4 linked regions of the Arabidopsis thaliana genome follow. The protein of the gene in region 3 purifies or fractionates together with the protein of the main gene of each other region. This does not show direct contact. Each region holds a gene or a part of one and is shown on either strand. Other genes may lie near its edges.

Region 1 (6,923 bases), on a different chromosome or scaffold from region 3:
GAAAATCTCAGCTGGTTCTTACGTGTTGAATGCTAACAAAGGAAAGAAGGAGAGAATCGGAAGACTCTTGGAAATGCACGCAAACAGCAGAGAAGATGTTAAAGTGGCTTTGACAGGTGACATTATCGCTCTTGCGGGTCTCAAAGATACAATCACTGGTGAAACCTTGAGTGATCCAGAAAACCCCGTTGTTCTTGAACGAATGGACTTCCCTGATCCCGTCATCAAGGTAGCGATTGAGCCAAAAACAAAAGCAGACATCGACAAAATGGCGACAGGGTTGATCAAGCTCGCTCAAGAAGACCCGTCTTTCCATTTTTCTCGTGATGAAGAGATGAACCAAACCGTCATTGAAGGAATGGGAGAACTTCATCTCGAGATTATCGTTGACAGACTTAAAAGAGAGTTCAAGGTAAAACATAACCTATAAATCTAATTCTCTACTTCAAGCTTCCAAGCTTCTAATTCCTTTTCATCTTTCAGGTGGAGGCTAACGTTGGTGCACCGCAAGTCAACTACCGTGAGAGTATCTCCAAAATAGCTGAAGTGAAATACACACACAAGAAGCAATCAGGTGGACAAGGTCAGTTTGCTGATATTACAGTCCGGTTTGAGCCATTGGAAGCAGGGTCAGGATACGAATTCAAGAGTGAGATCAAAGGAGGAGCTGTGCCAAGAGAGTATATTCCTGGTGTCATGAAAGGACTTGAGGAGTGTATGAGCACCGGTGTGCTTGCTGGTTTCCCGGTTGTTGATGTCCGTGCTTGTCTAGTTGACGGATCTTACCATGACGTAGACTCAAGCGTGCTAGCTTTCCAGCTTGCTGCAAGAGGAGCTTTCCGTGAAGGGATGAGGAAAGCGGGTCCGAGAATGCTTGAACCTATCATGAGAGTTGAAGTTGTTACACCAGAAGAACATCTTGGTGATGTCATTGGTGATCTTAACTCACGAAGAGGTCAAATTAACAGCTTCGGAGACAAACCCGGTGGTCTCAAGGTATGTTTTATTCAAAATGATCGAAAAAACCCCTAAATTGTTAGATGATGAAATCTGATTTTGACATTGTTGTTCTTATTATTGTTAGGTGGTCGACTCTCTGGTTCCATTGGCAGAGATGTTTCAGTACGTGAGTACATTGAGAGGGATGACAAAAGGTCGAGCTTCTTACACAATGCAACTGGCTAAGTTCGACGTTGTTCCTCAACATATTCAGAACCAACTTTCATCCAAGGATCAAGAAGTTGCTGCTTAAACAGATTTTGTTTTGCCTAGACATAAAAACTTATTGTGATTTTGTTTGGTCTATATAGACATGTAAGCTAATCAAATTTGTGAAGACAAGGTTGTTATTGTCTTAAAACGCATGGATATGAGAAAGAAAGAAAAATTGATATATCAGAAAAGTCTGAAAAATGAGAAGAATTCGATCTTAGTGTTTGGAGTTATAAAAGAGTAATGACTCAGCAAAATCGAAATCAATGTCTTGGCTTCGTTTATTTCATCTGGACGATTCCTGAGCTGATAAGCTTTTGGATTTTGTTCATGATCATTGGGTTCTGCATGTGCTTTTGTGCTGCTGCTGGATTCTCCTGGAGATCAGACAGTACCTGTCCAAAGAACAAGTGTTAGATTTTGGTGAGACATATCAACATGGAGATAGCTCAATTTCAGTTTCCAGGATTGCTCCGAGATGTTTGATCTAAACATAGAGAGATTTGTGAATTCTAACATCATCTATAGAAGTGTGTTCTTTACCTGTCTCATTACAGGATCTGTGAGAATGTTCTGAATTTCTGGGTCTTGCATTCCCTTAGCCTGCAATAAGGACGAAAGCAAATCCCAAAAGTTTTAGTTTAAGATCACAGGTTTCTCTTAAACCCGTAACAAAGCAGTTTCAAAGCAGTAATAGAATCTAACCTGTCTTTCTTTCAATTCCTCAGGAGTAAGGTCGCCACGGTTTGCCTTGTTTATCTGTTGTACACATCTGCATGGTTTAAAACATGTTACATAAGCATATTGACATTACTAGATAACAGAAGCGAATAATCTCCCCGTGACTTAACACCTATTTATATAAATACCTTTTAACACCATCAAGAAGTTCCTGGTTATTAGGATCATGTTCGAGACCCTTCTGGTACGTTTCCATTGCATTGTCATACTCCTTCATGAAGAACTGGACTGCACCTTTTCTACTGTATCCCTTTAAGAATGTTGGATCGAGCTCGATACATTTCTCTGCATCTTTTAATCCTTCGGGCATTGCCCCCAGTTTAGTGTAACATGCAGCCCGGTTGCTATATGCCTATGTGACGAGCAAAAAAGTAAACAAGTTATTAAAACAGTCAAATACGGAACTCTTTTTGAGCACAACATTGAAGGATATATGATGATGAATCCGCCTTACTCTCGGGTCTTTTGGATTCCTCTTGATCGCTTCAGTGTAATGTCTCACAGCATCAGGATACTTTTGCTCCTTAAAAAAGTCATTACCTGTGTTACAAAGATGTTAGTTCAGCTACATTTACTGAATTCTAAGAGATTCTTCCTCGCACAAACAGCACATACAATTGCAAAGTATATACCTTTCTCACGCTCCTCATCACCGATATTAGGATCATAGTACTCTTGCTGCTCCAACTCTTTCTTTGCTCTCTCTGCCTCATTCAGTCTCTTCAATGTTTCAGGGTTACGATGCTCCGTAAGAGCTTTCTGGTAAGTCTGAATCACAGGTTCATAGTCTTTCGAGACTTTAGCCATCTTCCCTAAAGCAGTTCCTTTCCTAGTCAAAGCTTTAGCCACCATCTTGTAATCAGACCTAAGCTCTCTACCCCTTTCAACAGCCTTATCACAATCCTTGATACACTCATCATACTAAAACAAAACACATAGACATTAAGACTCATAACCTAACCAAAGCAAATCACTTTAGACTAGCACACAAAAAAAAAAGAACACTTTGAAAACTATACCTTTCCCATCTCTAGATGAACAGCAGCACGATTAGTGATATAAGAGATATCTTCATCATCAATCTCCATAGCTGTAGAGTAATGCTGGATTGCAGTTTCGAAGTCCTTCTTCTTATACGCAGCATTCCCCAACTCTTTCTCCTTCTGAGCTTTAAGCTTCTTCTGCTTCTCTTCTCCAAACTCCGGCTCAGGCTCAGGCTCAGGCTCAGGTTTTCGTTTCTTCTCTACCTCAGGCTCCTTCCTAGAAGGCACAGCCATCTCTTCCTCACCAATCTCCATATCATCACCAGCCTGTTGAGTCCTGATTTGAATATTCAACAAAACTCCAAGAGCTTGCATAACTCTCTGATCTTGCAAATAAAGATTAAGATTACTAGGGTTCCTCTGAATCTCCTTCATCATATTAACAAAATCAGGCTGTTTCAATAACCCTCTAGTAGAAGGATCCGCCGTCAATTTCGACCACATCTCCGGTCCCTGAAAAGCATCACCAAACGGATTGGGCGCGGAAGCGCGTGACCTAGACGCAGAAGCTTTCGCATCAGCTAAACCTGATTTCAAACCTTCGTTACTTGGATCAATCTCAAGCCCTTTCGAATACGCCTCCACGGCTTCATCGAACTGATTTAGACCTAAGTGAGCAGCACCGAGACGGCTATAACCTTTTCCCCAATCTGGTTTAAGTTCAACAGTCTTCTTCGCGTCTGAGAGAGCTTCGTCGTAGTGATTAAGCGATGCGTGAGCAGCGGAACGGTTTGAGAAGAGAACGTGATTGGTTGGTGTTAGGTTGATTGCGTCGGTGAAGTGATTAACGGCGGAATTGAAGTCACCGGAGGAGAAAGCTGCGTTTCCTTTAGCTTTTGCTTCGTCCGCCATAGTTGAATCTGAAAATTTTCTCTTGCAGGTCTTCTCGTTGCTTCTGGAAGATACCTTGAGGGGCTAATGGGTTTTTGGCTTTAGGCGAATAAATACGAGTGTATATATATTTGTTCGATATAAGAGTGTTTGGTTTCGGGTTAATACTATCCTAATCACGTTTATTCATTAAACAGTTCTTTACATAAAAACGTCGTCGTGTCATTTTATAACAAAACCGACTTCCTGTTACACTGTAGCAGAACCGACGTCGTGTAATAACATTAGTGGTTTTATATTAATCGACGACGTATTTCTCTACATTGACCCAACGCTTCTTCTCCGGCACGATTGTTCAGAGTTCGATTTCCATTTTCGGGTCGAAAGGTTGATTTTATTTGGATTTTGGATGGTAGATTCAGTTCCTAAACATAGGAAACTTGAATCTCAGAGTTTTTCGAGTTAGGGTAAGGTGTTTTTTGCTCGTTTCGTTATTGTTGGACGACATTAATGGTTTCCAGCGATTTTACATTACTAATTGGAAAGTTTCTGTGAACTTTAGTGATCTCATTTGTTATCCATGTGTGATTATTGGGTTTATGATTGTGTGTTAAGCAATGTTGAAAAGTTCTCATTTTGTTTGTTAAATACCAATTCCAGTGCTTTGTCCACCAAGTGTTTGTGTTAATTCCTGAATGAGTTTAACGGTTCACAAAACCTCTGGATTAGTGAGAATTATTCAGTATATTTATTTGAAGTGGTGATAATTGGAGGATTTTCTCTTGTGTTTGTAGATGAATTCTGTGTTACTGTTTTATAATGGAGTGATAGAAGAAACCAGAGTTTTTCATTGTTTTTATGAACTGATCTTGTTTGTGGTTTATATGGTTGTAGGATAAGAGAAAGAAACACAGTTGGAGTTATACTGATGAATGGAGGAGGCTCGAGTAGTTTGCGTTCAGCATTGTCCTATTGTGTGCAGCAAGTACGAAACTATGACTATCATCACTACCTCTGTCTCCTTGAACTCCCAACTGAGATGCGTAAAGCAGCATTTGCTCTCCGGGCTTTTAATGTAGAAACCGCAAGAGCCATGGATGTTGCATCTGATCCCAAAATCGGCTTGATGCGGTTACTTTGGTGGCAAGAAGCAATTGACAAACTCTACACCAAAAAGCCCATAAACCATCCAGCTGCACAAGCTCTGTCTTGGGCAATATCAGAACATAACATCAGTAAACCTTGGCTAAAACGCTCAGTTGACGCTAGAATCCGAGATGCCCAAAGAGAAGTAGACGATATACCAGAGAGCATTGCGGAGCTAGAGAAATACGCAGAAGACACAGTTTCCACTCTTCTGTACAATACACTCCAAGCAGGCGGAATTAGTTCAACAACAGCTGATCATGCAGCTTCACACATTGGTAAAGCCAGTGGTCTTGTCTTGCTGCTTAAATCATTACCGTACCACTGTACCAGAAACCGTCACCAGAGTTACATCCCTGCAGATCTCGCTGAGAAGCACGGGTTGCTCGTGAAACAAGGTGGACGATTAGAAATTCTTCTGGATAACGATTCAAGAGAAGGACTAAGCAATGTCGTGTTTGAGATTGCATCTGTTGCCAATGCACATCTCCTGAAAGCCCGTGAACTGGCGGGAAAGGTTCCTGCAGAAGCTAAACCGGTACTGCTTCATTCTGTGCCGGTACAAGTTCTTCTGGATTCGTTAAATAAAGTACAATTCGATGTGTTTGATCCCAGGATTCAAAGAGGAGTTCTTGGTGTTCCTCCACTCTTGTTTCAGTTTAAACTCAAGTGGTATTCATGGAGAGCAATGTTTTGAAAACTTGTCTTTATCTCCCTTTTCTTGCCTCTTTTATTTCTGGTTTCAAAGACTTTACATTAAACTCCAGCTTACTTGTATTTCTTTTGTAATAATACAAAATTACAAATGGTGATGAATACAAAATAAAGAATTTGTTTTTTACTTACAAATAATATACAGTTTTCATATGTTATAATGGAAGAAGCCCATCTTCTTGCATTTTTCTGTACAACAAATCTGATTTATCCCATTGGCGTTTCCTACAAAAGCCTGAGATCATCGTAGTGTAGGACACAACATCAGGCTTAAGTCCTTTGCAAGAAAGGCTACGAAACAAGTCCCACGCATCTTCAACATTACCAATCTTGCACATCCCGTGAATGACGATATTATAAGTAGTAATATCAAGTTCTATTTCACTCTTTTGCATATTCTCGAATAACACCAATGCTTTCTCTACCCTCCAGTTCATACAAAGCCCATACAACAAAATGCTGTACGTCCTAATATTGGGACGAGAATCCATCCGACTGAAAATTTCTTGCGCCGCATCTGGTCTACCCGCTTGAAAATAGCCCTGGATTATAGTGTTGTATGTGATAGTGTCACCAACTAATCCTCTTTGAGCCATCTCGCGGAAGAGTTTCGTTCCTTCATCAACCCTCTTAGACTTGCAAAACCCGTTAATGAGAGTATTATAAGTCACTACATCGGGGAGACAACCCTTAGTTACCATCAAATCAAGCATTTGTTTGGCCTCATCTACCCGACCGTGCATACAAAGACCGTTGATCAACGAATTGTAAGTGAAAACATCCGGATCTACACACCTTCGTGTCATCTCCTCGTACAACTTCATCGCCTCCGAAAACTTCCCTTCTTTCACAAACACATCGATCACCGCAGTGAAAGTAATGACATTAGGAACAATATCCCTCATTACCATATCTCTCATTAGCCGAGCTGCATCACTCCATCTACCAGAACAACAAAGACCGGCCACAAGAGAGTTATAAGTAACAGCATCAGCTCTAACCCCATCTCTTTCCATCCGATCAAACAGCTCCACCGCGTCATTCACCAACCCGATCTTACAAGAACCGTCGATGATCGTGTTGTAGATAACAACATCTGGTCTAAATCCCATTTCCTCCATTTTACTAACCAAATCTATAGCATCAAAAACTCTATTCCCTTGACAAAATCCATTAATCAAAGAACTAACCGTGACAACATCAGGCTCGTAACCAAACTTCATCATCTTCCCAACA
Region 2 (7,822 bases), on a different chromosome or scaffold from region 3:
ATGCAAAAGCTAATCAAAGGACCAAAAAGAAGACATGTGACCACCATATCCCCCTTTTACATATTTCTATGGTAGAAAGATAAATACTAATCTATGCTATATAATAATACATATATATCCTCTCAAACTTGAACAAGCATATATGGAAGATTATAAACAGTGGTTTCTACTAGGGAATTATTGTTGTATACTTGTATCAGAATTCCAAAGTGTATTGTTTTCTAATCACTAAATGGAAAACCATTTGGAGTTTATTTTTTAATACAGATTGTCTTTTTGTAAACAATATCTATAACAAAAAAAAATACAATAAATGTAGCTCTCCTATAAATAACACCTCACTCGTGTATACACACATATGCCTTTTAATTGAAACGCACCACAAATAGAACAAAGAACCCCACACACACACCAATGGAACCAAAGCTAACCCATCTTTGTTATTGCCTTCTACTTTTTCTTCCACTACTCTGCCAATCCACCATAGCCAAACCTTCATCATCACCAAACCCTAGCAGCAGCATCAACTTCATTGTCTCATCATGCCGCGTCACGCGTTACCAAACTCTCTGCGTCAAATGCCTTGCCGCTTTTGCAGACAAAATCCGCCGCAACGAAAACCAGTTAGCTCAAACCGCTTTAGCCGTTACTCTAGTCCGGGTTCAGTCCACGACAATCTATGTAGGGAAGCTGACTAAAGCTAGGAGAATCAAAAGGAGAGAGTACTTAGCCGTGAAGGATTGTGTTGAAAATCTTGGAGACGGTTTAGAGATGTTGGCTCAGTCGATGAGGGAGTTGAAGCAAGTTGGTCGATCTGGTCGTGATCGAGACGAGTTCTTGTGGAGACTAAGTAACGTTGAGACTTGGGTTAGTGCTGCCTTAACGGATGAGACAACGTGTCTGGATGGGTTCGATGGAAAGGTTATGGACGGTGTGGTAAAATCAGCGATTAGAAGAAGAGTGGTTCATGTGGCTCGAGTTACTAGTAATGCATTGGCTCTTGTAAACCGGTTCGCGGCTAGGCATAAGTCATAGAATATTCGGCTAATAAATTAAAATTCGGTCCTTAATAAGGTTTTGTCATGTATTTTCTTTTTTGTCCTAGTGGGTGATTTGTTTCTTTATGATACTTTGTATTTATGTGTAGGCTTGGGATGTTTATGCTTTTGTCATGGTTTCGACTAGAGATAACGATGATTTTAACGGGTTTATGGAGAAAAAGAATTGGCCACAAAAATTGGATGAGCTCCTACATTTCAATATAGTTACGGTCTCGGATATAAGCAATGGATGGCCACAATAATGTTTACCATTTTTAACCACTCTAATAACCAATGCTGTTTTCTAAAATCAGATGAGTTTCTTACTTCACACATATACACTTTTTCTAAGCATACAAATTATAACCTCTAAGTTGGACAAATCTCCTACTTTCTGCATACCCTTTAGTGTTTTTGTTCCTTTTCACGGAAACCATTAGACCAAGAGCTAGTCACTTTACTATTTGAATAATCTTATGATGACATTCTTTCCACATAAGCTCCATTTACTTTGGTAGTTTGGGAGCAGGTGTGAAAATCTTATCACTAGTCTAAAGTTAAACACTAAGTGCTCTTTTGATTTAATTTAAATAAACCTTCGGATTGTTAGCTTTTGGGAAAGACAAGTCCAAGAAGTAACGGTGAAGAGTGATCATGGAAGCAAATTAGGTACAATTATGGAAATACAAATATTTTTAGGCTGTTTGCCACATGAACAAAACATGCAAGTATATATGAATTATATCCTCTTAAATTACTATTTAACATCTATTAACCCTTTTGCATGGAATGTTTATGAAAAATCTATGCAAATTCTATTGCAAGAAAAAAAAAAAGTACTCTGTAATTTGGTTAACCATCGGTACACCTCCCCTTACGAATTTGTGATTTGTGTAGTGAACCGATTAACCGAATAGTATTTATTAGGAACATGTCATAATTTTGAAAATAATCGTTAATTAACAAAATAAAAAGTTATGGGAAATAGTTTTATGTTCTAAATCAAAATTCAGAAATTATTACTTATGTTTTTTCAGTTAGCAAAGGAAAATTACATATCTTAGATTCTGAAACTTAAATTCTAAAATTAAAACTCCTAAACTTTCATAGATTTTAAAATCTTAAGATCTTTTTGTTTTTGTTTTTTGGGCAAACAAAATCTTAAGATCTAAATCTTAAAATACTTTCCACAAACCGTTCCACTAGAGAAAAATCTATATATATATTTTTTTAAACTATATTTTGTATTAAAGAAAAGTGGAAGAGAAAATTCAACACAATCTGATTATTGCACAATTTCTTAGTCACCATAACGTGTGCAATGCACGTGAGGCCCGTCTAAAAAGACTTTTATTCCTCTGTAAAAGAGACATGTAGAAAACAAAAAAGATTTTACAGCTTTTGACTTTTAAATTATAATTTTCGACCAAAAAAGAATTATAGTTTTTTTTAAAATTTTTTGACAGCAATTATAAATTTCGTTTGAAGATTCTTTTGAGAAAATTCGAAGAAGTAGCATATAAAACTAGGAGAACACAGACTTGATTCATTCTACAACAACTCCTCAAACATGACCCAAACCAAATCAGAGTTTCATCAGTTTAACAAAAGCCCAAAAGAACGCAGTGAAAATTTGGAAACATCTTCGGTTTGATTCAATATACCACTCCGGTTTAGCATAACCAATTTACCGGACCTGAACAATTCCGGCACTAACCAGCTTCTGAATCTTGTTCATTACCATTGGGTTCTTCATATGCTCTTGTGCAGCTTTCGGATTCTCTTGAAAGTCCACTAGTACCTACAATAGACATCATCACACAAGTCTCACAGACAGCTTACGAGTTAGAACACAATGCTTGCCACTGCTTTTACCTGTCTCATCACTGGATCCGATAATATGTTCTGAACTTCAGGATCTTGCATTGCCTTTGCTTGTCTCTCCTTCAATTCTTCTGGAGTCAGATCACCACGGCTCGCTTTGTTTATCTGTTCCACACATCTGAAAACAACAACACTTTCACTAGACCGATCTTTGCAAGGTTAAACAACAAAGAGAGAATGCCAAAATTTGCAAACCTTCTAACACCATCAAGGAACTCCTGGTTCTTAGGATCATGTTTTAGCCCTTCTTGATACGTTTCCATAGCTTTATCGTATTCCTTCATGAAAAATTGAATAGCTCCTTTTCTACTGTATCCTTTCGTGAAACTTGGGTCCAGCTCAATGCATTTTTCAGCATCTTTCAATCCCTCTGGTAATGCTCCTAACTTTGTGTAACAAGCAGCTCTGTTGCTATATGCCCTCACGTCGTTCGGGTTTCTTTTGATTGCTTCTGAATAATGCTTCACTGCCTCTGGATACTTTTGTTCTTTAAAGAATCCATTACCTGCATCAATGAAGAAGTGTCAAATGCTTAATCCTAAAATCAAATCACGTTTCAAGATAGTAAGTGTAACTGAGGATCAGTATATATACCTTTCTCTCGCTCCTCCTCGGCTATCGTAGGATCAAAGTACTCCTGTTGCTCCAGCTCTTTCTTGACTTTCTCAGCATCGTTCAGTTTCTTCAATGTATCTGGATTACGATGCTCTGTAAGAGCTTTCTGGAAAGTCTCAATCGCAGGCTCAAAGTCTTTCGAGCATCTCGCCATTTTCACTAGAGCAGATCCTTTTCTAGTCAGAGCTCTTGCTATCATCTTGAAGTCAGAACGAAGTTCTCTGCCTCTTTCAACAGCCTTGTCACAGTCTTCAATGCACTCCTCGTACTGATAATTTCATTTGAGAAATGAAGTAAAACATCACACAAGATACAGTAAGATCCAGATGAACCAACTGTTAATTAAACAAGACTAATGCAAGAACACATAGACCAATGGAATTGAACCACTCAGGATACTTGAAGATTAATTGATTCCAGTAATAATAAAGATAACCACTTCTACAGAACAAGTGAATAAACTCCATCATGAAGCCATAAACCCTAAATTTCTACCTCATCTAAAGCTAACTACTTTCAGCACAAGTGAAAACTTAAGTTCAAAACTCTTAAATCTCCAACAAGAAGCAGATGAAAGTTATCAAAACCCATCAAGGTCATCACAAATGTACTAACTAGTGACAAGCTATACTAAACAGATAAGCTACTTCAAGAACCCAAGATCTCCTCCTTAATCTTAAAGTACCTAAAGGTTTAACTTTTAAGCCAAGTATAAGACTTAATACCTTCCCCATCTCAAGATAAACAGCAGCACGATTCGTCAAATACGAAATATCCTCATCATCGAGCTCCATGGCCTTAGTATAATGTTCAACAGCTCTCCCAAAATCCTTCTTCTTATAAGCAACATTTCCTTCCCCTTTCTCCTTCAAAGCCTTCTCCTTTCTCTCCTTCTTCTGCCTCTCCTCCTCCGTCAACTCCATAGGTTCCATCTCCGGTTCAGGCTCTTTCCTCTCATCAGCCTCCTTCATCTCAGTATCTTCACCACTAGATCCACCAAACTTCACATTCAACAAAACCCCTAAAGCCTTCATAACTCTCTTATCCTTCATATACAAATTAAGATTATTAGGGTTCCTCTGAATCTCCTTCATCGTCTTAACAAAATCATCCTGCTCCAAATAAACCCTAGTCCCCGGATCCGCCGTCAACTTCTCCCACATCTCCTTCCCTTGAAACGCATCAACAAAAGGATTCGACTTTGACGAAACCCTAGATCTCGAAGCATCAGCTAATCCCGATTTAAGCATCTCATTACTCGGATCAATCTCTAATCCTTTCTTATACGAATCAACCGCTTCATCAAACTTGGACAATCCAATAAACGCAGCACCTAATCGGCTATATCCTTTAGACCAATCAGGTTTAAGCTCTATAGTCTTCTTCGCGTCTGATAAAGCTTCTTCGTAACGGTGGAGAGAAGCGTAAGAAGCGGATCTGTTTGAGTAGAGGATGTGATTGGTTGGTGAAAGGTTGATTGCTTCTGTGAAATGGGTTATTGCGGTGGCGTAATCGCCGGAAGAGAAAGCTGCGTTTCCTTTGGATTTTGCTTCTTCCGCCATTGAATTGGATTTGGTTTAGGTATCGTGAGAATCTGCTTGATTGCATTTTTAAAAACAGAGGAAGATGAAGAAGAAGGCACAAGAGAGTTCTCGAAATTTCGAATTTTTTTGTGTATGTCGAGAATGTTCTTTTGTAGCCGTGGAAAAATGTTTTTAAATCTTAAAAATACAAAAGGAAAAGAAACGCTAGAGAAAGGGGTCGAACCTCTGACCTTGTGGTTAACAGCCACACGCTCTAACCAACTGAGCTACTCCAGCTTTTTGATAAGTGATTCGTTATTTATGTAAATATACCGTCTAGAAAAGAATAAACATCCGTTTATGTTCTGTGCTTACTTTTTTATGCTATGTCTTTGTCTTCTGTCAGAAGATTAAGCGTCAGAAAGACATCGTGGAGTTAGCAACGAGACGATCAAAATTCTTCAATCCGAAGTAGTAGTAAACCAGAGGTGAGAAGACGACCAGTTTGGGAGAGAAAACCAAATCGGAGGTATGTATGGTGATTAAAGTTTTGGTTATGATAAATAATATCATCATAAGCGAATAGTTTTGTACGTTTTTGGTTTAGGTTTTAATCAAATGTGTCTTTACTTTTAATAAGTTTAGGTTTGATATTTGGTTTTTTTGTTTTTTTCTAAACATACCACATATAATCATATATATTAATACTCAAAGAACAAGTAGTACATGGTTTCTCCAAATACTTGTAACCAACCAAAGTGGTAAACTACAATCTAAAAAGCAAAATACAAATCACATGAAGATGCAAATTTAGCAAGTGCATCTCCTCTGCACATTTGTTCTCACCTCATCTTCTAAATTTTAACATATTTGATCACTTTCCTACAATATGATTTGAATTTGTATTCAAATTTGGGAAATTTTGAAAATTACCACCTTTATGATACCATTTTTCAAAAAGACCAGAAAAAGGTTGTTCAAAAATTCTAGTTTCATATCATTTCTTAAGAAAAATCTTCTAAGCACTATAAAACATTAAAAATTTTGTGAAAAATCTTATAAATGTTTGATATTATGCATTATAGAAACTTTATAAACGTTTTTATAATATGCTCTATAAAAGTTAATAAAACAAATTCTATGATTGCATTTTGTGTTACATTGAAAATTAACAAAAAAAAAAAACAGTGGTATTATTAAAAAAAAATAAAAATCATAAAAGTGGTATCTCAAAAATTCTTCTGAAATATATTTAGATAGAAGTAATTTCATAATTAACATTATATGGAAATTCTAAATATTGATTGTTTCACTTCAATTGGGGTTTATAGTGGATGATAGGTTTCAGATACAGCAATACACCATCACTCACTGTATTTGATATATTGAAATATAAGTATTCAAAAATACTGATAGCCCAATTTCAGTTTTTTCTGTTTTTTTTTTTTAATTTCAGTTTTTATGTGTGTAATTTTATAAGTTAGAACATAATTTCAGTTTTGTTCTAACTTATAAAATTACACACATAAATCTAAACCATATAGTATTATAGGATGTCAATGTGGTCTATCATCCATGAAATAAACTGATACAAATAATTATCTTGTATTTATGAATCGGTATTTATCGTATAACATAGATGGTAAAAAAAACTAATATTCACAAATTAAAGGAAATCATCCTTCTCTGTACTGTATAAGTGTATATAAATTTTTTTAATCCTCTTTTGATTTTTGACTATTTTATAAATTCAAATTATATAATCTTGTAAGAATTTTTCCTGCGGCAATGATCCCATGCAGCGATCCTCAACTGGACTTTTTCAAAATCCGAAACCCGACAAGGAATAGTGATCCGACCCGGTTGATCAAACCCATGAACCCGCTCCGCTTGCTCCAACAATTCTCCAAACAATGGATGATTAAAGTAAATCACCGGCACCACAACTCGCCGCGTGTCATCGTCTGATTCGCCGACATGAACCACCAAATGTCCTCGAGGAACAACCCGGTTCGACTTTTTCGGATCCTTACCCAACCGGATCTGATTCTGACCCGGATTCTTCTTGCTTCCACCGCACAATCTCTTAGCTCCACGGCTTAAACACCGTGCTAATGACCGGATTCCGGTAACCGGGTTTGTGATTCGGGTCGGGCATCTGTTTCTTGGTATCCATTTGAAAATTTTGACAAATCTGTGTCCAATTTTGAACCCTCTGACTCTCTTCATGCTTGGTTTTAATCAGATTCCGACAAAAAAAAAAAAAGTCTTTGGTGAAAACAATGAGATGGGTTTGTTTGAAATCGAGTTTCAAGAAATGGGTTTGATTCGAAAGAAATAGATTTGGAGAAAATTTTGGTTTTTGTTTTTTGGTATCTCTCTCTGTGTTTTATGTTATAGAGTTGAAGAAGAAGACTGTTTGGGTATGGGGAAAGAGGTTACCTCTTATATAGCCTTCAAGGAGCTATGACTCTTATGTGTGCGTGTGCTTTTTAAATGTGTCCACTTTGATGGATAGTTTTCCAAATACAACTTTTTTTTTGTATTTTTTGTTATATTTTCGTATCATTTATCATCTTTTCAAAATTTAGGGAACTTTTTTTTTCTATTCAAAACATGCGACTTAAAATTCCAAATCTTAAGTGCCAAAAAAAAAAAAAACCTCAAGATATTTAAAATGAAATATATTACAAGAGATATATTTACAAGACTTGTGTAAACATTAGCTATTTAATTAATTTGGTCAGGGGTGTTACCATA
Region 3 (7,740 bases):
TGTTGTGCCTGATAAAAGTTTTCTTGGATTAAGATTAAATGCTAGTCTTGAACGATATCTAGCTCTTGTCCTTTGACATAGCTTTTTTGTTCTTTAAATTAAATTAAAGCCGCATCGATGGAGGAATGACACATTTTTTTTGTCTTATTTTAGTTACAACTCTTAATAATACTCCATCTTTTCAATTACGTAAGATGTTTCAATTTTATTAATTTTTTTCGTTTCAAGTTCTTTGCATAATTTTATTTTATTTGATGTTATTGTGACTATTAACATGTAGTAGTGTCTTCTTTTAGTGGTTCGATTATTTTTGGTATCTTTGTAACCAGCCAAAGCGCCAAACTAAGCAGTTTGTTTGGTATAAAGAATCAAAGCGGCAACGAGTATCAAAGTTTGAGGACCAGAAACGGCTTGCGGAAATCCTCTGTTTTTTTATTAAAAAAAAGTCAAGGGAGAAATCCTTGGGTCACAACTTTCACCTTTATATATGAGATCAATGAAACATAAATTCTAAGTATCAGAAAAGAGTCCCTCTTTATAATCGTTGGAGAGCTCAGTCTGTGATTGACAAAGCTTTCTTCATTCTTGAGACGAGATTAGGCAGAGTCTTCACAGCTTCATCAACAGTTTGGTTTACACAATGCTCCAAATCATTTACCGCTTCACTTCTCGTCTTCTGTTGCTTAGCAACCTCAAACTTGTCTTGACAAACCACAAGAGATCTATTCAACCTCTCCTACATTCATCAGTAAAACCAAAACACCATCTTGAATATCTAGTACTCAAACCCAAGCGCTGTTGTCATGTAATAGAGAATCCAGGAGACAACAAACTAAACTATCTTCATAATAACACATTTGAAAAACAAAAGTTTCAGACCAATCACTAATCATCCATCAACCTCTAATAGAACAAGAAAAAGACTTTAAGACTTCAATCACCAATTTTCCAACGTTCATGGGCATTTGTAAATTTTGCTGTATCAATCTCAAATTGTAACTGGAAATAAAGTTGAGAAATAGACTCACTTGGAACACCGACATCTCATTATCAAAGTAGTTCTGTGCATTTGTGATAGGAACACTGCAACTCTCTGCACATCGACTAATCTCAGCGTGTGTTCTTGTCCTATCAAAGCACTCGTATGCACATTTGAAATATGCCTTCTGCATCAACACAAAAGCACAAAAATAACTAACTCTTATATAAATCTCAAACTACGCAGTAAGCAAACTAAGTCCAAGTACATATCCAATGGCTTCTTCGAAGAGTATACACAGAGAACATAACTTTAGGAATTTAGCAACTAGGAGAAAGAAAACTGAGTCTAGGGAGCTGTGAAAAATCCACTTTGTTTCTTCAATTTTAGAAAGAAGACATCAAAATTTTCAAAAACTTTTTTTTTTGTTTGAGAGAGAGAGAGAGAAAGAGACGAACTTGAAGGGTGAAATTGATGTGGTCTTGTACTGGAGAAAGAAGAGACTGCGACGCAGAACTGACTTCGTTAACTTTCTTTCTAATCCTCTCTCTCACCATCTTCTCCTCCGCCGTTTGATCCATTTTTTCCCGGCGAGTTGATTTATTAGTTCAACTTTGCTCTCACAATGATTCACTCGAAAAAGTTTGGAATCTTTACTTGCAAAAAAATTAGACAAAAAAAGACTGAAAAAGAGAACATTTTTTTACTCCTTCCCCAAGTTCTCATAGGTAGCTTCAACCGCCTCCCATCTCTGAAACACTACCTTATTTGGGCCTAGCCTCTTTTAAATTGGGCCCATTTACGAACATTATCATCTCCTTTAGTCTGGCTCAAGCATGAAGTTACCTCAACAGCCGTCTCTGTTTCTTCTTTCAAAATCTATCAACTTCTCACTTTTTTTTTGTCAAGGGTTTCATTATTATTGACTTTACATTAATTTATAGAGATAAGCATTAAGCATGATCGTCAAACATTGACCAATTAGTTAAATGTAAACTGACATTGAAGATATTCAATTATTCATCATGATCATCCATCAAAATTGCTAAAAAGCCACATGAGTTGTTTGTCGAGAAACAGGGGAAAAAACAGAGAGACAAAACAAAACTAACCTGAACTTAAACAAAACTCCACAGAGAAGAGGAAGACTGAGTACAGACCATACTTAAACTGTTTTAACTACTACAAGTGTGCTAACGGACCAAAGACCAAACATATAGTGACTGGGAAAAACAAAGCTACTAAATCACTGCATCTCAACTTTGTAACTAGACCCACCAACATTATCAGAAAACCATAGTAATCTACACCAATTTTAAGAGCAGACAGATGAAATGAGGAACCGGGAGGATAGGTTTTTGTTTTTGTCTTTGTCCTTTTAGAGCTGCACTTCTCTGTCGTGTATCCAACTGAAAGGAATCTTGGGTCCTTTCTTGGCTCTTGCTTGAGCTCTCTCATCCAATCTCTTGATCCTTGGAGCCAACCCGCATAAATAGTCTTGTGCTTTGTTTCCTTCACCTGAAAGCCCGGTTAAGTCCTGGATTTTCCACCTACCAACCAGAAACTCAAGAATGTCTGCATAGTCTTTGGCGGTGTAAACACCGAGCCTCTGAGCCACGGAAGAGAAGTTGTCAAAGAGGTTGTCGTTGCGCCCATCATACATCAAGTGAGCAGGCATTGAGATTTTCTTTCTCATCATGTCTGCAAAAGCCATGACAGTACCATCAGGATCAATCTCAAAGAGCTTTTCAACTATCTTGGTGTATGCTGTTTCATGACGCTTCTCGTCTGCAGCTATTGTGCCACATATTTGGGCTAGTTTGATGTCCCCGTGCTCTTTGGCTTGGCGGGCTGTGTTTCCGTGAGAGATGAATGTCGCTCTTTCTTGGAATGACGTATAGATGAAGCCAAGGTAGGGGTTATTCTCTGTCCGCGGATCCTATGAAAGATAAGTTAAAGCGATTAGGTAGTTATATTAACCAAGAAATCATGATAATTGCCTGAAACTATCTCACCATTCCAGATCCAATCAAGTACTGAATGGTCTTTTCGATCTGCCTCATGTCAACACGACCAGACAAGTAAAGGTATTTATTCAGAAGATCGCCATGTCGGTTTTCTTCTGCAGTCCAAGCTCTGGTCCAAATAGCCCATGAAGTAGGACTAGCACCTGTTTCATCCCTAACTCCATCCAAAGTGTTCAACATAGTTTGATAGGTCGGAAGTGCTTCTTCTGTGATCATGTCCCCCACCAAAACAACAAAGTAATCATCAGGGAGCTCTCTAGCCCTCTCTCTTAACTCTCTTACCTGATCTTCAAACCCATCTGATGCAGGGTCAGGCAAGAAATCCTGGGGTTGCCAAGACTTCTCCACATCCTTGAGGTGAATCAGAAGGTTCTCCTCGGCCCAGTTTTCCATAGATTTGAAGATCTCGATCTTTTGAGGTGGCATGGAGTGCAAGACTTGAACATGCACTTCCCTGGGTGGCGTAAATGGTTTCTTCAAACTCTCAACCTCCCTGCATTAACCAGAAAATAAGTATCATTAGCATTTAATTATGCTCCATTGAAATTACCAGTCAAGGTCTCATCTCTGATACACAACTGAAACAAGAACACAGTTTATTGTATTTAGATAAGCATTCATGTCTACATTTCCAAATCAACTAATTCTATGTTTGAAGCGAAACAATTTCACAATTCATGACTAGCAAACACTTAGAGATGGTTAACCGTAAGACAATATTTTATATTTGCATTCATGGATTGGTCTTGCAGTTCAATATGAAGCAAAAAAGAAAGATTGTGAAAGAAACAAATGTAGTGACTACTGATCAGACAAAGACAAGATAAAGAGCCAAATGTCTTCAAAACAGAGAAAGAATGAATAATAAATTACAGAAAAGTGTGAAAATTTTGGACGCAAACTAAAGAGAGAAGCCACGAAGTACGCATGCATAGAGAAAGGCCACGAAGCGTGATATCCAACGTAATGTCTTTGAAGAAAGATAAACAGACGTAAACTGATACGTTCAAGAATCTCTTGTCAATACAAAAGAGAAAACTCATCAAATGAGTAAGAAACAAGTGGATAAACATTTCACCATTAAAAATTACTAAACCAGAGAAAACAAAACAAAACTTTCTCTTTGACTAAGAAGCTTTCCTCAATGTCTGTTAAGTCTTAACCAATCTAAAGATCATTATACCATAAAGAAGATAACTAGTGTTAATCTTAACTAACAACCAATCAACGAGCAATCTACATAATCTGATGCAGAATAAATATGGTAAAGGCAACGATTTGATAGATGGGGCAATCTCAGAGAAACGTGAGAATAATAGGGAACAATCAACAAACATCAGATTCAATGAAAAAGAGCATTAATGAATCACCTGAGAACAGAGGATGGCCCATTCTTATAAACCCAGATTAAAAGAACGTACTTTTATTGAAATCACACTCGAGATTAAGCAAATGTAAGCAAATAACACTGAACAAAATCGAGAAAACGTAGATCCAATATCGATAAGAACAAGCAAAACCCAGAACACAGTAAACAAAGATGAAACAGAGAGAATCGAAAGTAGATAAGAGAGACGATGATGGAGAGAAAGAGACTGACTTGGGGCCGGAGCTGAGAGCCGGAGAAGAAGAAGCGAGGCAGAGGAACTTGGGAGATCTGAAAGAAGGAGTTGGCGGACGAGTCGAGGAAGGGAATTTGTAAGGCTGAGATGCCACCAAAGGGTTAAACTTTAGAGCCATTTCTGGATATGATGAATGAATCCTTCTTTTCTACAGAGCTAGAGCTCTCCCTCAATCTCTATCTCTCGGTCTGAGTTTGGTTCTTCTGGCTTTTTCTCTCAGGTTTAGTTTCGTCCACAGAAAGAGAATGCTTATGCACAGCGTTGAGCGTAGCAAGCAATAAGAGAGACGAAAATAAATAATTCTTTTTTTTGTTAAAAAAATTATTCTAATAAGGAAAATGACGTCATATTGTCATTTGTGTGTGAAAAACAAGGTGACAAATTATAAAAATAAATAAATTGGGTATCTGTTCTAAAATACCCTTGAGATGCTTCAATTTTGACACTATTGTTCTTACATATGTCGGTAAAATATTTGTATCAAATAATTATTAGTCAACAATAATGATCAATGATACATCAAAACATCGAGTAGCTAAGTAGCAGTATACTAAATATTAATATAGTTGAGAAAAAGTTGCAAGAAAAAAAAGGGATACATCTTGAAAAGAATTGTTGATTAAAAATTCTTTTATTGAGTTGAATAGTAAAGTTGAAAAAATTGATTACTTTTGAGCACCTATGTCAAAGATGATTATGATTCATGCTTAGTCTCTTTCACTCATGACTTGTGCTAATTGTTAGATGACTCTCCTATATGTGTGATAATTTGGTATTAGATCTATGAAAATTGATGAGCAATGAGAAGGGGTAAAAAGGTCAAAACAAAATATAAAGTGTTTATATTAATTTATGTGAGTTTTGTAATAATCGACGTACTCGGGCGTGAGAATCCACGTAAAAGCCAAATAAGTTTGAAGCATGAAAGAGACAGAGAGGGGACAAGTGGCATAGGATCTCCACGTGGATGTCCCACTTGGCATATGAAAACTCTATAAACCGTACATTGGGTTTAATGGTTTTTTGCATTTTAGCATCATTCGATACTTTTCTGCCAAGTTTAGCTAGCTCAACGTTTTGAGTAATTTGATAGCACAACGTTTTCGGTTTTTCATTGAGACCATGACAACAAATTTAAACTTATTCTTTGTTTTCGTTCCATCACATTTAAGTGTAAACATTAATGCTTGTTTAACATCTCTTTCGGTGATTAACATTAATCAATGGAGTATATACTTCGATTAACATCTCTTTCAGTCATAAATCATAAGTGTGTGTAAACATCCCCATTGGTGTTCACCATACGTTTGTGTAAACATTAGATCTCTTAAAAATATCCAATTTATCCAATAAGTTAGCACACAGAAGAAATATGTAGACTTTTCATAGCTGAAAAACACAACAAGTACTACAACATAAAAGTAAACACAAACGCATACTTTTCAGGTCATGTGTAATTATTCCACCGCCGATATAAGTATAAACAGAAATCAAAACGATACATTCAATACAATCACCAAAATAAAGATATTTATCAAGCAAACACCGTCACATTTTTAGATTTCTCACCAAACCTCGACCATCACTTTTTACCGTCCGACGGAAGTCATCGCTTCCGTGATGGTCAAGTGTCCTTTCTGACTCCTTTGTCATCAATCGAAAACATAAAATATTTACAAACAAACATGTCATATATCATTTCACGACCGAACTCAGCATCACGTCTCAGCGTCCCCGGGAGGTAAAAGGTTCCGTTAACGTCAAGGTACCAATGGACCCTTGTGATGTCAAAACACCAAGTACACTCTCAGATGTCTCAGACCACATTCTGACCTTCTCTGCTTTGACTATATCGAGTAGATTATCTGGAAGCTGCAGATCACCACCCAAGATCTGGACCACCTTAGACATGTCTGGCCTAATTGCTACAGCCTGGTGCGAACACAACACTCCCAATTTCAAAACAAGCTCGAGCTGTTCTCTATTGTCTTCGTGACGGATTCCATCATTGACTGCCTCGAGAATATCTCCGTTTTCCCAGCACTTTAATGTCCATTCAGCTAGGACGACCTCGTCGGAGGCTGTTCTTCGCTCTATCAGCCTCCTACCGCAAGAGACTTCTAGCATAAACAGCCCGAAGGCATAGACGTCTGTCCCTGTGGTTGCTCTTCCGCTTCTTATGAGCTCCGGTGCAATGTACCAGAATGTCCCAGCAACTCTAGATGTCTGAGGATCATAACCCTGATCGTACAACTTAGCCAACCCAAAATCCCCGAGCCTTGCATTCATTTGGTGGTCAATCAGGACATTTGCCGGCTTGATGTCTCGATGAATTACAACTTGTACCCATTCATGATGCAAATAGCAGAGTGCAGAGGCTATGTCTTTGATGATCTTGAAACGTTGATTCCAAGTGAGTTGCTCTTGATTCGCTCTGTGGTAGAGGTACTTGTCAAGACTTCCATTGGGCATAAAGTCATAAACCAAGTAGAGTTCCTCCTTGTACCTACAATAACCCTGAAGCCTGACTAGGTTCTGGTGTCTAAGCCGACCAATTGTCGATATCTCAGCCAAGAATTCCTGCATTCCTTGTTTTGAATCATGTGAAATTCGTTTAACGGCAATCTCTGCATCAGAACCTGGAAGTGTACCCTTAAAGACCTGACCAAACCCTCCTTTGCCTAGAAGTTGTTTGAAACCTTTTGTGGCTTTAAAGAGTTCTTTGTAAGCAAACCTATGAGGCCCACATTGGATCTCCCATTCCTCTAGAACCTCTTTAACCTTTTTATGTCTCCTGTAGAAAAAGATACTTAAAGCTGATGCAACAAGCGCAACAAAGAGAACCAATGCCAAGCTGGTCACCAAAACAATCCGATAAACCAGAGATTTTTCCTTGGGATATGGAGGAAATGTTGGTATTCCCAAGTCCAGGTTTGGAACATCAACGCCGCCATGTACAAACCAACTCAACATGTAATGCATTGCTCTAACAGACCCCGTTGAGGCTGAGAAGCCCACATACATGTTCTCCAAAATATAGGGTGATAGATCTTGGTTCAATGAAAGAAGAGGCTTGTTCGGGTAATAAGCCTCCTCTGGTGATGATAAGGTG
Region 4 (8,257 bases), on a different chromosome or scaffold from region 3:
TGATTCTCCTGTGGCTCCTCTTCTTGTTTATGAAACTGCTAGGATGATGTCAAACACTGAAGTCTTGGAGAAACGGTTCAACATTTCTTGGAAGTTTGAAGTTGATCCTAATTTCGACTACTTGGTTAGGCTTCATTTCTGTGAGCTTCTTGTTGATAAGCAAAACCAGAGGATTTTCAGGATATACATAAACAACCAGACGGCTGCTGGTAATTTCGATATATTTGCTCACGCGGGCGGGAAGAACAAAGGTATATATCAAGATTACTTGGATCCGGTCTCCTCTAAGAACGACGTTCTCTGGATTCAACTTGGACCTGACTCATCTGTTGGTGCTTCTGGAGACGCTCTTCTGAGTGGTCTTGAGATTTTCAAGCTCAGCAAAAATGGGAATCTTGCTCATCTCATCAGGTTTGATTCGACTGGTCACTCGGTAAGTGACTCGAAGATGCGGATTATTTGGATCAGTGTTGGTGCTGGTATAGCAATTATCATTTTTTTCGTGTTCTTGGGAATCTTGGTAGTATGTTTATGCAAGAAAAGGCGAAGCAAATCAGATGAGTCGAAAAACAATCCTCCCGGGTGGCGTCCGTTGTTTTTGCATGTCAATAACAGTACTGCAAACGCCAAAGCAACGGGAGGCTCGCTGAGACTGAACACTCTTGCAGCATCTACAATGGGAAGGAAGTTTACACTAGCCGAGATTCGTGCAGCAACTAAGAACTTTGATGATGGTTTAGCTATTGGAGTTGGAGGGTTTGGTAAGGTTTACAGAGGAGAGCTTGAAGATGGAACACTCATAGCTATAAAACGAGCCACCCCACATTCTCAGCAAGGGCTTGCTGAATTCGAAACCGAGATCGTGATGCTCTCAAGACTTAGGCATAGGCATCTTGTGTCTTTGATCGGGTTCTGCGATGAGCACAATGAGATGATCTTGGTTTATGAATACATGGCAAATGGAACTCTCAGGAGTCATCTCTTTGGAAGCAACCTTCCGCCATTATCATGGAAGCAACGGCTTGAAGCTTGTATAGGCTCTGCGAGAGGATTGCATTACCTTCACACAGGGTCAGAGAGAGGAATCATTCACAGAGATGTCAAAACAACAAACATACTATTAGACGAGAACTTTGTGGCAAAGATGTCTGATTTTGGGCTGTCGAAAGCTGGACCGTCCATGGACCATACTCATGTGAGTACAGCTGTGAAAGGAAGTTTTGGTTATCTTGATCCTGAATACTTTAGAAGGCAACAGTTAACAGAGAAGTCAGATGTTTACTCTTTTGGTGTTGTGTTGTTCGAAGCTGTTTGTGCTCGAGCTGTTATAAACCCAACTTTGCCTAAAGACCAGATCAACCTTGCGGAATGGGCTTTAAGCTGGCAAAAACAGAGAAACCTCGAGTCCATCATCGACTCAAATCTGAGGGGAAACTACAGTCCTGAATCGTTGGAGAAGTATGGGGAGATAGCAGAGAAGTGCTTAGCGGATGAAGGGAAGAACAGGCCAATGATGGGAGAAGTGTTATGGAGCTTGGAGTATGTTTTGCAGATTCATGAAGCTTGGCTTCGCAAACAGAATGGAGAAAACTCGTTTTCGAGCAGCCAAGCGGTAGAAGAAGCACCAGAGAGCTTTACTCTTCCAGCTTGTTCCAATCAAGATTCCTCAGAAACTGAGCAGAGCCAAACAGGATCTGCTCTTCACAATTCGGCTTAGAGGAAGCAATTGGATTGGCCAGTCCCAAAATAATTCTTTTGTTCTTTTGTTATAATTGATTGTGATCTATCCAGAAGCTCTTTTGTAATAGAGCTTGTAATATACACTGCAAATATAATTTCCTTAAGGTATTCGTTTAATCATTCTTTCCATTTGTTTCCTTCGCTAATAAGTGCACCAGAAGTTGTTTGCTGGGTTTCTTCAACTCATTCTCACGCACAATTACTCAAGGTTCTTTCCAAATAGTAGAGAAAAACTTATTGAAAGAGTTCTAAACGATACAGCAGGCTTAATGCTCTGTCTAAAGGCAAAGACATGTCTTAGCTAACTGCAAAATGTAAAGAGTTACAAATACTTGTTTGGTAAAGCCACTCAAAAACGGAAAATACAGCTTGGTTCCTTTCTCGGAAATGGATAGAGCTTCAAGATCCAGAGAGGACACCGCGGATAGGTGGACAGACGGATGGATCTCATTTCTTCCCACCACCGGAAACATTGAACTTGAAGAAAATGATATCTCCATCCTGAACAACATATGTTTTACCCTCCTGTCTGTATTTTCCTGCGGCCTGCATTAGTTGAAGGGATTATAAATTAGACCAAGTGTCATCGCCATGAACATTATAAATATAATCATGCCTCTTCAACGAGGATATCTTGCACAGTGGAGAGCTTCCTTAACATTTTCATGTCTGTTTTTAGAGGCTACTTACTCCACCGAGACCTTAAGAGATTGTAGAAGGAAAAGAAGTTATAGACAAATACCTTGACTGCAGGTTCATTGCCAAGTTCCTTGAGATCCTCGAATTTCATGACCTGTGACATCAACAACAACATTGGAATAAATCACATTGAATTTCAAAACAGAAAAATATTTGATTAGATATGGTTTGCATTAGGATTCTGCTTTGATATCTACAGGCCTGCATCGATACTAGGAAATCAACACCAAGATGAATATAAGAATATGCAAGCAAGCATTTGTTTTTGTCAGTGAAAACATAAGAAAGATTATATAAACTCTATAACAGAACAAATCATCAAAATCTGGAGGGGAAAGGCTTTACGCATGTAAATTTTAGGTAGGAATAAACTAGTGAATTGACCAAGATTCAAGAGAAATGAGAAAATGGTACCTCAGCACAAATAAATCCTCTCTCAAAATCAGTATGAATGGCCCCTGCAGCTTGAGGAGCCTTTGACTGCCGTCTTATTTGCCAGCACTTCACCTGCAAATCAAAGTATCATTGATGGATGTATTTTATAAACCATCAAATTCCAGTAACAATGCACTACTTGACACATAACACTGATCATGCACTACCAAATAGCTCATTACAGAACAATTATGCTTAGAAGAATTTCACAGAGAACTAGAGACTAAAGCGTGTAGTGAAGCCAAGTAAAGTGGGACTGTTAATACCTCATCAGGCCCTGCTGTAAAGAAGTATATGAGGTTAATTGCTGAAAATCCAGTTTTGATGATCCTCGGAAGAGCACTGTCAAAGCAGCAATGGCCATAAGATTCAATTTAACAGATTCATAAAGAAAAATCATCTTCAGGAGCAACTATTCATTCGCAAGGTGCTGTTCTTTTATTCCTAACCTTTGCAGTTTGTTCTCCTCACAATACTTTGCTGCTTCATCTGGGGCCATATCAGCGAGACTCCTTTCAAACACACCACTGAAAGGAATCATAGTATCACCACCGTGTTCTTGAACCCTACATAATGATGAAACAGATATTTTTAGTTTAGGAGAAGTATAATAAGGTAAGTAAATGTGTAAGCACGTAGCCATATTAGAAACTTTTGCAACAACCAAGGGGCAAAATGTTTTACTTATTATTCAACATAGTTTGTGAAAGGATATATATTAGTACCAGGCATGAATCTTTGGCAAGAACTTGTTTTTCTTCCTCTGATAGTCTCTCTCATTCAGGTTAATCTGTAATTTAAATTTCAGAGTAACCAGTGATCACAAAAAGTCCAACCAAGATGCCTTAATAGTTCTTACACTGAGATGAAACACATAGTTGAAACAAACATGAAAGCATAGAGATCAGAAATAGCTAAGGAACACACTATGGTTAAATTTGGGGGCAAATAGTGTCACAAAAATAGACAGTATGACCTACATTTTGCAAACTGACCCGAAAAAAATTGAGGGAACAAAATTGTCGACTATAGATATGAAAGAAGCAAATGCATTTATCTTGATAGAAACAATGGTAACAGAAAGAGATGAACATTCAAGACTACTCACCAAGTAAACAACGGGCTTTGCAGAAAGCAATTGGAAAGTGTTCAAAATCTCGATATCAGCTGTTTTCCAGTCCCCAAAACGGACATCCTTACCATCTTCTAGCCAAGCTTTTACCTAAACCAGAGAGGTACAGTCATTTTTTCGGCCAATTAATAATTAATGAGCAATAACATTTGCAGAACAAGACTGCATGGTTGTCAAATTATAGCATACCTTTTGCAAGAGCTCAAGTTCTATTTTCAGCTGCTTGTCATTGCTCCTCTTCATGCTCTTCTCGACATCATCAATCTTCTTTCCAACAAATTCAATATCCTAAAGTTGCACCAAAGAATTCAGTTTGAAACCAAAACAACAATGGATGAAATGAAGATCCAACTAATACAAAAAACAGACTACTGTATTAATATACACAGAAAGGATTTCACGAGTTTGGAGATATAGCAGTCAAATATCTGTTTAGAGATTTGATTCACCTTTAGCCGCAACTCTTCAGTAATGGTCTCCAAATCTCTAACAGGATCCACGATATCGTCGACATGGATAATATCAGCATCTTCAAAAGCACCTGCATATGTTCAATCGAAAAGTCACTAACCACTATATAACTGGCAAGATATCTTACTATCAGCAACTATTAAAGAAACATCCCCGTTGTTCAAGAACAGATATGCTTGGAGAGGAAAACATAAACTAACTATCGCAATGGCCCTATAGGTATCAAATGGGAAGAAAAATATATAAAGGTTTTTAACCTGTCTCTCATTGAAAAGCCTGCTCAAGTAGAAATTCAAGACAGCACAAGTAGCAGTACAGTCTAAATTATTCATCAAATCACGCATCACACTAAAACAAAGCTGGCACTAGGAGAAAAAGCGAGAGGGAAAAACCATACGTAAAACATGGAAAATTCCATCAACTGCACGAATATGGGACAAGAAGTTGTTTCCAAGACCCTGTCCTTCATGAGCTCCTCTAACAAGCCCAGCAATGTCATGAATTTCCAAGAAAGCTGGAATCTGAGGCATCAAAACAGACAGAAGTCAGCCCATTCATAAAGTAATTCAGATAGTAGTAATCTCTTCCTTAACAGCAAGTCATGAAATAAAGTTACAAACTTACCTCACTCTTAGGCTTGTAAGTTTGGCAAAGCCAATCGAACCTCTCATCGGGGATATTCACACGTGCCTCATTAGGCTCAATGGTACAAAAGGGGAAATTCTCAGCTGGAATTGAAAGCTTTGTAAGAGTGTTGAAAAGAGTAGATTTTCCAACATTTGGTAACCCAACCTGCGATGCCACAAACAATTCCCATAGTGAATAACATCAATACTTCTCCATATCATCATATCAACCATGAACAATCAACCTTAATCACTGTATCAAAGAAGCAGTTTCTTAAATATGGATTAAACATCTAAAAGAGTACAGTGACAAACACAACGAAACAAACAATATCATCATGCATCACTGATGAGTTAATAGATCTCTCCCGGCAAAACTCAGAAGAAGAAAAAAAAAAAAAACTTTTATCGAGGAAAGTATTGCGATGAGCAAATCTACCATTCACCATTCGAAATTAATCAACTTGGATTCTAAAAGAGAGATGAAGAGAAAAATTACAATTCCGATCTTGAGGTGAGAAGAGAAACGGCCAAGAATAGGCCTCTCTACGGGACCTGCATCTTTAGCTTTGGCTTTCGGAGGCATCTTTCTCAAAGTCTCGAGCTTGAAAGTGAAGCGAAGCTCTAAGATATTCTAGGGTTTTTGCTGATTAACAAAGCCTAGCAGAAGAAGCTACAAGACGCCGACGCCGAGGTTAAAGAGAGATTGCTCAGCTGGTTTACGGACCGGTTTAAATCGGAGGGTCAATTCCCGGTTTACTTTTAACCATTTGCGGGACATTTACCAAAATACAAAGAGCTATTTTTAACCAATTTTGTGGACAAAGTAAACCCAATATTGAACACTAAACCGAGAAATCAATCATTCAGCATTTCAACTTAACCAAATTAAACCGAAACTCAAATTAGGTAATCATAAACCAACTGACTAAATTTTACTTCATAGATGTTCTTCAAAATTTTGCTACAAAACCACATGCGATCAGATAATACCACAGACTCGCACAAAACTCATGTCAACTTCTTTTTTTTAGAGTTTACGCACTAGCTAAGAGATTGTAATAAGAAACCTACATTGCAAAATTGCATTCCCTCTCTCTATGACTATTAGATTAAGAAGGATTCAGGAGGACTAGTGGATGGTCTGATTCTTGAAGGCATCTTCAAGAGCCTCTCTGTTTCTCGCATGAAAGAGTGTTTCGGAGTTGTAGACATCGTGTTCATCTCACTATCAAGTTCAACGTCATCGTCAGGTTCCTCCGCACTGTCTGCATCTCCATTCACTATGACCTCATCACAAAGCTCTTCGTCACCATCTTCTCCATAAGTCGTTTTCACCATTGACCAGAAGTTGAAGTTCGGGGAGATGTAGCTTCAAGAATTGACAAGAAAACACGTGTGAGAAAGAGAGTTCAAGCCTATCCAATGCAAATACTTTGATTCATCACTTGTTTTATCATATTAAAATAATTTTCAATGTCATTTCAAGACTGTAATTAAGATGTATGCAGTAGAATTTGTATCAAATATGCCCAGGTCGGGTAAATTCATCCAGTGAGTCAAGAACCTTGTGTAAGATTCTCACATTGATTTGTCCTTACTTTGGAAGAGAAAAAATAATCAAGAGTAAAGATAGCAAACCTGCTAGACATTTTCAACAAGCACGGGTCAAACGGGAAGAATGTGTCAAGCCTTTCAAAGCCACCAAAAGCACGAGAGAGCTCAGACTCGTGTAGGTCATCGAAAATGAAGGATTCTGAGACAATGAACAGACCACCAGCTTTGGCTTGTTTAAGGAACTCGGAAACTACAGATGGAAGACACACCTGTTCACACAAAATGAATGGTGCAAGCATAATGCATTTGATACTTGGAGTGAAGACTACTTAAAATAACAGTTGAGCTATGAGAAGAAAATGATTAGTGTAAGTCACCCACCAGTAGTGGGTTTAGTTTGTGAGATAAAATTGACTCCAATGATCTAAACTGCGATTGAAAGCGAGGAATCTCCACTATGGATCTCATTCGGAAGCATAGCACATACAAGATTGCCTACAGTCATAGAAAAGTAACAACTTTAAGCGATACATGACATAATAGCATATGATCCCAAACGCCAATAAGCTTCTGGTAAGGGTGTGAACATTAACAATGATTGATAACTAGAGACGTCAATGATTTCACAGAAGAGTTCTTAAGGAATCAAAAGCCATAAGATGGTCTTAAACTTGGACTATACCTGACATCCAGAATAGAACACTTGATGTGCTTCTGGCTTCACATCATCATTGCATGTTCCGCAATATTCCGCACACTCGTCCACCAATCTAGGATTTCAGCAAAAGAGAAACTATGTTACAACAAAGCGAGACTTAAATCAGATCAAACAATTACATTTTCCATTTTTTAGCAATACGTACCTTTTCAACATGCTAGCCACAAAAGAAGCAGGCAAAAACTTTCCACGAGACAAATAGCTAGCTAGATAAGCCACTGCACTCATCCTGTTAAGTATAAAGAGAAAACAAAAGAATACACAAGTGGTGATTAGAACAATATTAGCTTCATATCATGCAGAGAAATCTTTACCAAGAAGGACAAGATTAAACTCGCCTAGTAAGTCGACATGTGTTGCTGGAGAGATATATGTCCAACAGCTTACTGGCAAATCTCACACCACAATTTTCAGGATCTAGTGAGCATGCATAGAACATCAGAAACTGCAGATGAAAGTAGAGTGAGTCTAAGCCAAGACATCACATGCCGATAATGAACTAATGCTAGAAGCCTACAATGAAAACTTTGTAGTATGTAAGGTGATAGCTTTGATGCCTACCTGTGAAAATTTTGTTTTGTATGTGTTCAGAATATAGTTCTCGAACGACTTAAAGAGGATTTCAAATACCTATGCCAAAATGAAAAACAGAAACACCAAAAGATCAATGAATCTACCACAAAGGAAAGGAAAAATATGTTGAACAAGTACCATTTGGTGCCATACCTCATCCAAACGATCAGAGTTTTGACAGGATTCTAGATGATGAAAAAATAGGACCATCAATTTGTCCAACAGTTCAGAGACTACATTTCCACCTGAAGTATTTTGTTTTAGAGCCCCCACTGGAAACTGCAAAAAGAGATCAAATTTATGAAT

The links.
Region 1: the proteins of SSI2 (region 3) and Hop2 fractionate together in Arabidopsis thaliana (co-fractionation; one large-scale study listed by BioGRID). This does not show direct contact.
Region 2: the proteins of SSI2 (region 3) and Hop3 fractionate together in Arabidopsis thaliana (co-fractionation; one large-scale study listed by BioGRID). This does not show direct contact.
Region 4: the proteins of SSI2 (region 3) and AT1G30580 fractionate together in Arabidopsis thaliana (co-fractionation; one large-scale study listed by BioGRID). This does not show direct contact.

The regions. Positions count from the first base shown.
Region 1 is NC_003070.9:23,227,951-23,234,873, reverse strand, and holds Hop2 (stress-inducible protein), read right to left. Parts: upstream 3,953-6,923; 5' UTR 3,849-3,952; coding exon 2,973-3,848; intron 2,875-2,972; coding exon 2,586-2,874; intron 2,494-2,585; coding exon 2,408-2,493; intron 2,306-2,407; coding exon 2,082-2,305; intron 1,985-2,081; coding exon 1,918-1,984; intron 1,816-1,917; coding exon 1,756-1,815; intron 1,608-1,755; coding exon 1,494-1,607; 3' UTR 1,331-1,493; downstream 1-1,330. Other genes in the region: SCO1 (Translation elongation factor EFG/EF2 protein), read left to right, coding at 1-412, 484-996, 1,085-1,252; AT1G62730 (Terpenoid synthases superfamily protein), read left to right, coding at 4,756-5,670; NG1 (Pentatricopeptide repeat (PPR-like) superfamily protein), read right to left, coding at 5,843-6,923. UniProt on the Arabidopsis thaliana protein: Mediates the association of the molecular chaperones HSP70 and HSP90. Mediates nuclear encoded chloroplast preproteins binding to HSP90 prior to chloroplastic sorting.
Region 2 is NC_003075.7:7,336,139-7,343,960, forward strand, and holds Hop3 (stress-inducible protein), read right to left. Parts: upstream 5,224-7,822; 5' UTR 5,102-5,223; coding exon 4,265-5,101; intron 3,808-4,264; coding exon 3,519-3,807; intron 3,430-3,518; coding exon 3,120-3,429; intron 3,043-3,119; coding exon 2,916-3,042; coding exon of another isoform or gene 2,886-2,915; exon of another isoform or gene 2,842-2,885; coding exon 2,728-2,841; 3' UTR 1,880-2,727; downstream 1-1,879. Other genes in the region: PME1 (pectin methylesterase inhibitor 1), read left to right, coding at 415-1,035; AT4G12410 (SAUR-like auxin-responsive protein family), read right to left, coding at 6,818-7,291. UniProt on the Arabidopsis thaliana protein: Mediates the association of the molecular chaperones HSP70 and HSP90. Mediates nuclear encoded chloroplast preproteins binding to HSP90 prior to chloroplastic sorting. Involved in acclimation to heat.
Region 3 is NC_003071.7:18,117,113-18,124,852, reverse strand, and holds SSI2 (Plant stearoyl-acyl-carrier-protein desaturase family protein), read right to left. Parts: upstream 4,981-7,740; 5' UTR 4,747-4,980; coding exon 4,607-4,746; coding exon of another isoform or gene 4,603-4,606; intron 3,500-4,602; coding exon 2,995-3,499; intron 2,919-2,994; coding exon 2,358-2,918; 3' UTR 1,964-2,357; downstream 1-1,963. Other genes in the region: AT2G43730 (Mannose-binding lectin superfamily protein), read left to right, coding at 1-32; AT2G43720 (FAM136A-like protein (DUF842)), read right to left, coding at 554-736, 1,029-1,166, 1,438-1,560; AT2G43700 (Concanavalin A-like lectin protein kinase family protein), read right to left, coding at 6,354-7,740.
Region 4 is NC_003070.9:10,829,766-10,838,022, forward strand, and holds AT1G30580 (GTP binding protein), read right to left. Parts: upstream 5,871-8,257; 5' UTR 5,690-5,870; coding exon 5,603-5,689; intron 5,270-5,602; coding exon 5,102-5,269; intron 4,999-5,101; coding exon 4,875-4,998; intron 4,548-4,874; coding exon 4,456-4,547; intron 4,295-4,455; coding exon 4,196-4,294; intron 4,097-4,195; coding exon 3,983-4,096; intron 3,665-3,982; coding exon 3,600-3,664; intron 3,441-3,599; coding exon 3,324-3,440; intron 3,217-3,323; coding exon 3,141-3,216; intron 2,947-3,140; coding exon 2,854-2,946; intron 2,534-2,853; coding exon 2,483-2,533; intron 2,287-2,482; coding exon 2,188-2,286; 3' UTR 1,908-2,187; downstream 1-1,907. Other genes in the region: HERK2 (hercules receptor kinase 2), read left to right, coding at 1-1,717; AT1G30590 (RNA polymerase I specific transcription initiation factor RRN3 protein), read right to left, coding at 6,211-6,475, 6,745-6,929, 7,042-7,155, 7,343-7,430, 7,524-7,607, 7,717-7,823, 7,940-8,008, 8,105-8,230. UniProt on the Arabidopsis thaliana protein: Hydrolyzes ATP, and can also hydrolyze GTP with lower efficiency. Has lower affinity for GTP. Exhibits GTPase activity.